Rattus norvegicus: one gene and its partner. The protein of the gene in region 1 purifies or fractionates together with the protein of each later gene. This does not show direct contact. Links are inferred from orthologs where the notes say so. Each region holds a gene or a part of one and is shown in the gene's direction. Other genes may lie near its edges.

What was found. Proteins that work in one complex are often made in the same cells at the same time.
Region 2: the proteins of Rint1 (region 1) and Bnip1 purify together in Homo sapiens (co-immunoprecipitation; 3 studies listed by BioGRID and IntAct, counting the BioPlex papers as one, with this or other methods). This does not show direct contact. The link is inferred for Rattus norvegicus from reciprocal best matches to the Homo sapiens genes RINT1 and BNIP1.

Annotation. Positions count from the first base shown.
Region 1 is NC_086022.1:12,244,376-12,249,817, reverse strand, and holds the start of Rint1 (RAD50-interacting protein 1), read left to right. Parts: upstream 1-1,700; 5' UTR 1,701-1,822; coding exon 1,823-1,864; intron 1,865-2,267; coding exon 2,268-2,313; intron 2,314-5,442. UniProt on the Homo sapiens protein: Involved in regulation of membrane traffic between the Golgi and the endoplasmic reticulum (ER); the function is proposed to depend on its association in the NRZ complex which is believed to play a role in SNARE assembly at the ER.
Region 2 is NC_086028.1:16,900,290-16,905,603, reverse strand, and holds the start of Bnip1 (vesicle transport protein SEC20), read left to right. Parts: upstream 1-2,042; 5' UTR 2,043-2,053; coding exon 2,054-2,137; intron 2,138-5,206; coding exon 5,207-5,299; intron 5,300-5,314. UniProt on the Homo sapiens protein: As part of a SNARE complex may be involved in endoplasmic reticulum membranes fusion and be required for the maintenance of endoplasmic reticulum organization. Also plays a role in apoptosis.

The DNA of each region.
Region 1 (5,442 bases):
CTCCCTCAGCCTTAAAAGTACTGCAGTTAAAGACTTGTGGCACCATGCCTGGCCCGTTTCACTAATTCTTGTACATCCCCACACTCTTGGACTATGGTAAATTAATAAGACCTTACAGCTTTGTGATGTAATGTAGCCTAGACTCTGTTTTAATTTTTAATTTATTTTATTACTTTTATTTTTTAAAGTGTGTGGCTGTTTTGTCCATACGTATGGCTGTATACCAAGTGTGTGTCTGGTGCCTGGAGAGTGCAGAGACAGTGTTGGACGCCCCAGAATTAGAGTTAACAGTTGTCAGCTGCCCTAGGGGCGCCAAGAAGTGAACCTGGCTTCTCTGGAAGAGCTGCTAGCATTCTTAACTGCTGGAGCCATCTCTCTAGACTCTATTAATTGATTGATTGATTGATTGATTGATCGATCGATACAGAGTTTCACCGTATAGCTCTATCTGTCCTTCAGCTCACTCTGTAGATCAGGCTGGCTTTGAACCCATAAAGATTAACCTGCCTCTGCCTCCTGAGTTCTGGAACAAAAGGTGTGACCACTATTCCTGGTTCCTAATTTTTATTTTCATTTTATGTGTATGGCTGTTATGTTTGCGTGTATGCCTGCACCTCAGTGAGGTTTTTTCTCAGCGAGTATTTTCTATTTCCTCTAAAGGCTTTCTGTTTCTTTGTTTGTTTGTCTCCGTTTAGTCCCATTTGTTTTGGTCTCAAAGGCATTTTCCAGGGTTTGCCTGTCAAATTTCAGTGTTCTCTACCTATCTCTTGCTTCTAAGTAACTCTAGTTCCTCCTCCCTGGAAAACAGTAGAGGTTTGGGGGGCTCAGCTAGGCAAACTGGATGCCAGTTTTTGAGTGCCCTGCCTGATTCCTAGAATGTTTCAACCCTCCAAGCCTCCTACAAACAGAACTGGACCTTCCCGTTAAAAAATAAGATCATCTCTAAGCAACCTGACCAGCATTAAATAAAGATCTGGATACTGGCATTCACTGGCAAATTCCCAGTCATGCCAAACCTAGTAACTTACCCTGACACTTCTTGTCTGTATCCGCACTTTCTTTTTTATCGGGATTTGCCTAAGTATAAAACGTTCATTTATTTATAGAGCGATGGGGAGGCGTTTGGAGGTCAGAGGACAACCTGAAGGAATCGGTTCTCTCCTTCTACCACATGGGCCAGGTATGGAACCCAGGTGCCTTGGTGGCAAGTGCTTTTACACACTGAGCCATCTCGAGATGTTCTCTATGATGCTCTAGCTGATACTGAACCATCATAAGGAGGCCAAAGTATTTTCTCTCCCCTCTCCCCTCTCCCCTTTCTCCTTTCCTCTCTTCCCTCTTTTTTGAGAGACCTCGTTATCTGTGGTCAAGAGCGGCTTTGAACTCAGTGTGTAACTGGAGCTGACTTTGAACTCCTGATCCTCCTGCCTTCACCTCCCAAATTGTGGGATTACAACTGTGAGTCACTATGCCAGGGCCGAATTCTGTTTTTAATAACTCCGGAGAAGTGAAGGGAGCTCTGCCACAGAAGAGCATGCTAGCCAGCCCTCTCTGCCTGGGAAGCAGTAGGGTCGCTGGGTTTCCTGAGCGGCCGATCTGACAGCCAACCAGCAGGCGGCGCCACGGAACAGGACAGCGGCGCCACAGATACGCCTCTCTAGGCCAAGAGAACGGAACCAGAGAGTCGGCGATAGGAAGTCGAGGTGGCGCTCAACCCGGCGTCCCTGAAGGCTGGTCTGGTCGCCTAGTGTGTGTGTTCTCTAGCCGGACTCTGCAGGCCAGGCTGGCGGTGCATGGAATCCAGGACTCGAGCGGAGGCAGGATGCTTGCAGCTGGCGAGATCGGCGATGTGCCGGCAGCCCTGGTGAGGCGTCCCTGGTAACCCGGAGAAGGGACTCTGGTGACCCTGTGAGGTGGCACAGAACGCATCACCCCCCCCCCCCGGGACATTGTCCCCGCAGGGTAACTTGGAAGCGTGTGGCAGTGGTTCCCACGGTCCGAGGCAGTCAAGGGCGTCCCGGGGGAGGTAGTCACGGTGCAGTGTCCGATGTCCCAGAAGATGACAGTTTTGAGAGTTGGCGGGAAGGTGGACTCAGTGTCAGGGCAGGGTAATTTGGACCCTGGGGAGGTGGTTCAGACCTCTGGGGAGGTGGCAGTAGTGTCAGGCATGCCTCTGGGAGAGGTGCCTGGGACGTCTCCGCTTTGGAGCCCTGTATGAATTCCACTTACGTGAGTCTAACTTGTTTGCCACACCTGTTTCTCTGCAGTGCTGCCCCGAGAGCGGTGACGAAACGAAGAACACAGAGGAGAAAAGTAAGCAGGCTCCAAACCCTCAGTTCTTTTTGTCTAGTTGTCCTTCGAAGCTCGCTCTTTCAGAGTCTTTCAAAAAGAGGTTTCTTGGCCAGCTATCTTTTAAATGAAGTATCTTTTTCCTGTACGATCTTTAAACAGTAATAAATATTAGTTATCTTTGCATGTGGACTTTTATCTCTCTAAAAGAGCACTTTGACACTCTTACCTAGTGACTGGTTTGAGTTCACTGGGACCTGTCATTTTAATGAACCGCCAACTCGTTATCAGGTATTTGCTGGTCACTATTATGGGCTCCGGGGAGAGGTTTGATGATCGCTTACTTGCACTTTTGCCTTTGGTGAATATGCAGTTAAAATGTGCTGCAGGTAACACACAGCTTAGGTCCTGGGGCTTGGTCTGTGTAGGTGACAAGGAAAAGACCTGGTACCTACATTTCCTACCTAGGACAGGAAACTATGTCAGGCTGTGAGATATTTGTCATTTCACGTTGAAGAGATAAGAGTGGCAGGTTGTTAGGAATTCAGTACTCTGCAGGGGCTGGTTTTTTGTTTTTGTTTTGAAACAATGTTGAATGTAGCCCAGGTTTGCTCCAGGTTCCCTACATGACTAAGGATGACCTGGACTCCCAAGTCCACAGCCCTCTGTTTCACAGATGTTAACATGCCCAACCTTTTTAGAAGCTTTTGAAGGGTGCCCACATTTCCATGTGGCTCCTAGGAGGAAGGTTTGGCTTCTGATAAGCTCTCCCCAGCCCCTCGGAGCTTGAGAGATGGCTTGGTGCTTAAGAGTGCTTGCTGCTTTTACAGAGGGCCTGGGTTCGGTTCCCAGAGCCCACATGACAGCTCAATACTTTAGTTTCAGAGTTCTAAATGTCTGGTCCTGGCAAACCAGGCCTCTGGCTTACACATGGTACACATAAACTCATGGGAGCAAACTACATATGCACACAAATTAAATGAACAAACCCTTAAACAAATAAACCATAATTTAAAACCCCTTAGAGCTTGACATGGCCTGGGGAGTCACCGCCAGAGTTCTTGCCTCGCACTTTGGAAGCCCCAGGTTTGAATTGAGCCCTGCCACCACCACACAAACAATGAGACAGACAGACATGGACTTAGCAGTTAAGAGAATTTGAGGACCTGACTTTGATTCCCAACCCCTACAGTGTGGCTAACAGCTGCTTGGCACTAGCTCTAGGGATCCAGTGCCCTCTTCTGGCCTTTGTGTACACTGAAGAATGTGGTGCACAGACACACATGCAGACAAAACACACATACACATAACATTTCGAAAGTTTAATAAGTACCTGCCAGCCCATCCTTAAACCAAAAGTTAAAAACCAAGACAAAAAACCGAACAAGGAAACAAACCTTCTCTACCTTTGCCTACCCACATGCCTTGACTCTTCACATCAAACAATCTATCATTTTAGAATGTTAAGTGCAAACTACTTCATTAAGGACTTTGTCCTTGTCCACAGTGGCTCAGTTAATTGCTGTGTGCAATGGTGAACGCTCTTTATAAACAAATAAAACGGGAGAGACAAAAAAAATCTGCCAAGCCAGGTGTGGTGGCTCACGTCTGAAATCCCAGCCCTTTGGAGGCTGAGGCAGGAGGATTCCCATGATTTGGAGATCAGTTTAGGTCACAGAGTTAGACTGTATGTTTTTGGGTTTTAGCTCCTTATTTATTTTTTAGTTGCGTGCTGTATAGTTAAGGCTAAACTTGTCTTTTTAAAATTGAAATTATTTTCTTTAACAGGCAAATGGATAAGGAATTTTATTCAGCTATAAAGAGAAGTGGAATTGTGACATTTTCAGGAAAATAGATGGAAGCACAAATTATAATGTTGAAATAAGACAGACAGACAGATACTGCATGTTTTCCCTCATTGGTGGCATATATGGGTGTGTGTTGGTTACTGTTCTAGGGTTGTGAGGTGACACCATGCCCAAGGCAACTTAAAACAAAGCATTTAATTGGGGGCTTGCATATCAGAGGGTAAGTCCATGACTATCATGAAGGGAGCATGGACAAAGGCATGGTGTGGGACATCTGTTTCAGAGGTTTAATCCATGAGGGCAGGAAGCATGGTGGTGTGCAGCTAGACATGCTGCTAGAGAAGCAGCTGAGAGTTCTACATCTCTGAAATTGTTTTTAATGGTGTTTCGGTTACATATATGTCTGTGACAGTGTGCGGCCCTGGTGCCAGGGGAGGCCAGAGGAGGGCTTCGGCTTCAGCTTACGTGGAACTGGAATTACTGATGGTTCTAGGCCGCTGTGTGAGGGCTGGGAATCCAATCCTTGTCTTCCAAAAGCAACAAGAGCTGCTAGCTCTCCAGCCTGTCTTAAGAAAGCAAAAGTAAAATCAAGTGTGGTGCATGCCTGGAATCCCAGCACCCAAGAGGTGGAGGCAGGAGGATTAGAGATTGAAGTTAAAGTCATCCTTGACTTGTACATGGCAAGTTTGAGACAAGCTTGGGATGCACGAGATCTTTCTCAAAAGCAAATAAGCAAACATAGCTAATACAAATCTCTGTGTAAAAGGATCTCACATGCTTAAGAATATACTGTGCCCCTTTAAATAGTTACACCTGATGGGTGTGGGTTTCACTGTTTCCAGTGAAGGTCGAGCCTGTTGATACTCGCCACAACTCATTTGCTTTATTTCTGAACGATTCTTAGGAGGTCAGGACATGAGTACAGTTGGATTAGTTTGTGATTTGAGACACTGTGTCTCACGTATCCCAGGCTGGCTTTAAACTTGCCATGTAGCTGAGGATGACGCTGAACTTCCCATTTACAGGTCAGATATTATTAAAGTTTAGGTACAGAAAAGCTAGGAGACATGAATTTTAGTCTCATTTTTTTTTTTTTTTTCGGAGCTGGGGACCGAACCCAGGGCCTTGCGCTTGCTAGGCAAGTGCTCTACCACTGAGCTAAATCCCCAACCCTTAGTCTCATTTTTTAACCTTTGTAGGGTGAGGCACACATTATTACTTACCGTGTAGTTTGGAAGTTGAGACTTAACCTTGTTCTATTTCTCCTACCAGTGGCCTCTTACTCCTCATGTCTGTAAACAATCTTCTAACTCTCGTTTTTTTTCTAAGTTTGTTATTTCATTTT
Region 2 (5,314 bases), on another chromosome or scaffold:
CCCTTGTTTAGTGTTGGAGCCACTGAGTAACCTAGAAAATGAGAAGTTGGTTCTGCATCTCACACTATGAAGCAAATATATTAAAAATGGCTAAGGATACAAGTGTTTTTACAAAAGTGTAAGCACTAGAAGGGGATGTGGACAATCCTAAATCCTTGTAGAAAGGACTTTAAAACACAGACCCAAGTCCAAGAGTCATAAAGATCTGCCAAATTTAAATCCTCTTTAAGGTAAAAAAACAAAAAACAAAAAACAAAAAAAACCAAACCACCCATCAGCAAAGTCAAAAGTCTACAAATTTTGCAACTCGTGAATACTAATACAAAAAGGGAACCTGGAAACTAATACGGAATAGCTTGATGACCCAGTAGGAAAATGAGCAAAGTAAACGTGATACCTTTGAAACGTTTCTCAGTCTCATTCATTATGAGAGATGCAAAAAGAAAGAGACTACACCAAGCTGGTGGGGCTAAAGGAAACAGGCGTTTCCACAATGTTGCTGGTGCAACGTAAACTGATATAACCAGTATGACGAAACAGGGCTCTACACCACAGTCCTGGCTGGTCTGGAACTTACTATATCGACTAGGCTGGCTTGGAAGTCGTGGGGGCTCTCCCTGCCTCTACTTCTTGAGTGCTGGGATAGTCATGTGCCACTCCACCCAGATAGAAAGGATATATAGGAAAGTTGTGTAGAGCTAAAATACGGGTCTGGCAGCTGTGGTGTTCATCAGTACCTATAATTCCAGCAGTTGGGAGATTGAGGCAAGAAGATCAACAGTTCTAGGTCATCCTTGGCAGGTGGAAACCAGCTTGGGCTACATGAGACCCTATATGGCAGAAGCACTTAGAAAATGGCTGCACATAGGGAAGTGTTCCCAGAGTGCGGCTTGGCAGTACATGAACAGAAACTAGCAAGCATTGAGTTCAATACTATGGGTTATCAGCGGTGTCCTACCTCATTCCGCCCTCCAGGGGACCTTAGGAGTGATGGATGCTACTGATGATGGAATTCTTCTGGGAATAACTAGAGCCAGGCTGCTGACTACTAGGCTGGAATCCAGGCTCTCGTTAGCTGCAGTGAGCTATTGAGCACCTTTTAGGAAATGGGTGGTACAGGGTGCTTTGGACCAGAAAGGCATGTGTGGAGACTGACTTGTAGGGGCTGTGTGTGCAGTTTGAGAAAAACATTTTCAAAAGAGGGAACCCCACACCCAAGACTACAGAGCCTGGAGAATCCCAGAAGGTGGGGGAAAGGAAAGTGGCCAATGGTGTGAGGACTTACTAAGAAATAATTTTAAAAAGCACTACCCTTCTTTGAGGTTTGCACTGACATTGTTTCTACTAAAACTACATTGCACAATCAGAATTACTCCTTCGAGATAATTGGAATTCAATTCTACACAAAGGGCAGAACCATAGCCATAGAAATGTGTGAGGAAGGCAGTGTAGATTCTGAATATAAGAAAGCCCCAGGGTACGGTCATACTAATGGAGGTGCCCCAGTGACCTGTATTTAATTCTGCATCTTTACAAACTTTGTGTCTTACTCCGTAATTCATACTTTCTGTAGAAATTTCGCTTTAAATTTTAAAGGAAAAAAACCCTACAACTTTGGTGACATCCTAATTGGTCCTTTTTTCCTATTCAAAATGTCACTAGAATAGCTGGTCTCTGAATGATGGAAAGTGCCCACTGTTTAGCAAGGGTGGGCGTGGGGGTTGTTTCCTTAGTACTGGGAACAAAACTGAAGGCCTTATGGCAGGCCAGCCCATCACCTGAGTTGTAATCCAAGCCCGCCCCCGCCTCTCCACCCCAACCCTAATGGTTCTTCATAATCACAATTCACTTTTCCGTTTAGTAGGAGCAGCCCAGAGAAGTTGTGCGTGTTCTACGAGTCAAGGAAAGTTCCAGGTCTGGGCTGGCGACCTGGTTTGATCTACACCGGATCTCCCCTCCGCACCACAATCGGAGAGATTCGGAAAGGCGGGCAGGCGCCACGCGAACGCGCTTCAGCTTGGCTGCCGCCGCTCGCCGTAGCCGCGTTTCCAACATGGCGGCCCCCCAGGATGTCCACGTCCGAATCTGTAACCAGGAGATTGTCAAATTCGACCTGGAGGTGAAGGCACTTATCCAGGTACATATTAGTAGGCTCCTGTCCGGCTCTCGATTGCTGCCTTGGCATTTTCCAGGACATTCACGCCCGGTCCAGCCTCCCAGGCCCGCAGTCCCTCTCCAGGATGGCTCCTCGAGCACCACTCGGTCGGTTCCCGGAGAACACTGACCTTCAGCGCGTTTCTTTTGCGTACTGTTGATTTGGCCAAATCTGGAGTAGCCTAACACGCCGCTCTTGTCCCTTGGACTGAAGTGGTTCTGGGGGCTACCCGAAGTCTCGGAGGTAGCCCCGCCCTCCCCCTCCCCCCGCCCTGCCCCTCTCCCACGCCCACTTCCCTGAGTTAGGGACCCGGAGGGCACCCAAGGCCACCTGACGCGGGAGTTCTGGCCCAAGCTAACTTAACCTAGGACGTGGTTGTAATTTTTTGAACGAAGAATTCAAATATTGTGCTAAGTTCTGGGTCAGAAGGCAGGCAGTGCCAGTACTAGGACCTGGATGGGGAAAACCAGCCTAGGAAAAGCATTTTAGAGCTTCCCTATCCGGTTGAACAGACCGGAAAGTGAGGCGCTTATCTGGAAGCAGGTGTAAGTAGAGACTGTGGCGCGTAAGAAATCGAACACGGGCACGAAAAGGGAATGTAGAAATGACTCCAGAGTTTGGCAAAAAGAACCCAATCGGCTCAGGATACAAGCTGTGACAGCAAATAAGAATTGGGTAGGGGTACGGCTCTGCACTTGCTTAGCGCTGCGTTCCATCCCCAGTGCTGCAAATGGGTTGTGCCTGGCTGCTGGCCTAAGCTTTGTTTTGCGAGCCCCTGTAAAAAGGAGGGTGGGGAGTAGTATTCTCTGCTAAGCCAGATGTACACTGTACCACATTAATAGTCTCCGATGGTGTGAGGAAGTGTGATTTCATGAGTAAGCCTAGAGAACGAGTGAAGAAACGCTGCAAACTTTACATCTCTCCCACTTCACTCCTAAGATGTGTAAATAAAAAATATTTGGGCCACTTATAGAAAAATAAACAAGATTGGGTTTATACAAGCGAGATTACCAGAGGCTGGGGGTTAAATTTAGTTGAGTGTAGAGTTAAAGGTTATCCATGTGCAAGGCTCTGGTTTCAGTCCTCAGAATGCATCTATGAAAACATATACATACGTAAAACAAAATTGCTAGTATGGTGGCTCTAGCTAGCACTTGGGAAGCATAGGCAGGATCACCATGCATTTGAGGCCAACCCATACTACACAGAGTGATCTGTCTTCAAAAAAAAAACCCTTACATTCAAAATTTTGAAAAGTTGTGTTTTCATATTATATCATAGTATGAAATTATATAATATCATAAAACTTTGTATTTTCATAAAATTTTCTGTTAGCTAGGTCTCTTGTGACCTATGTGTTTTGGGTCCTTACAGTTACTAATGAGTACGCATAGCCCTGTACATTGTATTCTTATGGTGCTCCAGTTGTTCTGTCAAGTGTTCTAGGCAGACCGATCTTGAGAAAGGTAAGATAAAGAAATGGAGGCACAGAGAACTTAAGTGCTCCAAGATTTCACTGATAAATTGCTCTAACCTGGATTTGAATATACACAGCCTAAGTCTAGAGCCTGCTCTAAAACTTGGCTCTCATAAATCTGACTTTCTTTCCAGAAGCAAATTCTCAGTCCGTCTTTAAACATTTTGACATGCAACAGATGGTTTGTAAAATCAGACTAAATTAATTTTGTTCCATGTTACCAGGGATTTAGAGTTGGAAGGATCTGAAGTTTCAGGGTTTTTTTTAGGTGTTCATTTTTGTGGAGCATGGAAGCTGAAGAAGCCTTTCCTAGTGAATACACTTTGTTAAACTTCTAAGTCAAGGTTGAGCTTTACCTGTTTATTTATTACACACATACAATGCGTTCACGAGTGTGAGTGTGTGTGTATGTGTGTGTGTGTGTGTGTGTGTGTGTGTGTGTGTGTGTGTGTGTTTATGTGCATGTTTTGCTGCTGATGAAAGCCAGGGCCCAGAGCATGCTCTGTAAGTGCTGTATCATGAACTATACATTCAGCCTGCTTTTTCCTATTAGGCTTGGTATTAATCTTTTTTTTTAATTTTTTTATTTATATGAATACACTGTAGCTGTCTTCAGACACACTAGAAGGGGGCATCGGATCCCACTACAGATGGTTGTGAGCCACCATGTGGTTGCTGGTGATTGAACTCAGGACCTCTGGTGTTAATCTTAAGAGGGTGAGGAAACTGAAAATGATGGAGAACAGTGTGGGATGATGTCACAGGTGAGGCAGGTACAAGATAGAAGGAGGCCAGGGCTGGGGATTTAGCTCAGTGGTAGAGCGCTTGCCTAGCAAGCACAAGGCCCTGGGTTCGGTCCCCAGCTCCGAAAAATAGAAAAGAAAAAAAAAATAGAAGGAGGCCTGTCATTGGACAAGAAGGAAGGATGGGCGGGAGAAAAATTTGAAGGAAGAGGAGGGGACTGGAAGGACAGGGAGAGAAGCTGTGGCAGGACAATATGGCAGGTGACATTAAGATCCCACGCTGTACCTTTACAGGTTGTTACGAATGTTTTTAAGGGATAGATGTGTATTGGGCTTTGTGTGTTTAGGTGGGCAATTATATCTTATCAATTGGGTCAAAGGTTATTGTGTTGTGTGTTCTTTCATATAGCGATTTAAGTGTAAGAAAGTGTGTGGCGGCTGGTCTGGGCCACTACAGAGTTGGGATGTGTTTCTGGCATGGAAACCTGCCTTGGGAACTAGATAGGTAGAGAGATTGCTGCCAGGCTCAGAGAGAGGCCTTTGGCAATGGGATATAGGATGAAGCAGAGCGGGTGAGACACTTTGCTGACTGAGAATTAAGAAGCAGATATCTTGGGGCACTGCAGTGGTGGACCTAGGGGGGATAAAAGACAACCTTACTTTTTATTTTTTTATATTTTTACAACAACAGAACAGCACTGAGCAGGATGAGGTAGCAAGAGAGCTTGGCCAACCTTAGCTGCGGACTGACTCAGCTCTCTCACTGTGCCAATGAGGCCATTTCATTTCATCGACGGGAGAAAGGCCCCTCATCTCTTCATTGTCTTCTAGGATATTCGAGATTGTTCCGGACCCTTAAGTGAGCTTACCGAACTGAACACTAAGGTGAAAGAAAAGTTTCAACAGTTAAAACACAGGATCCAGGTAAGCGAGGCTGCA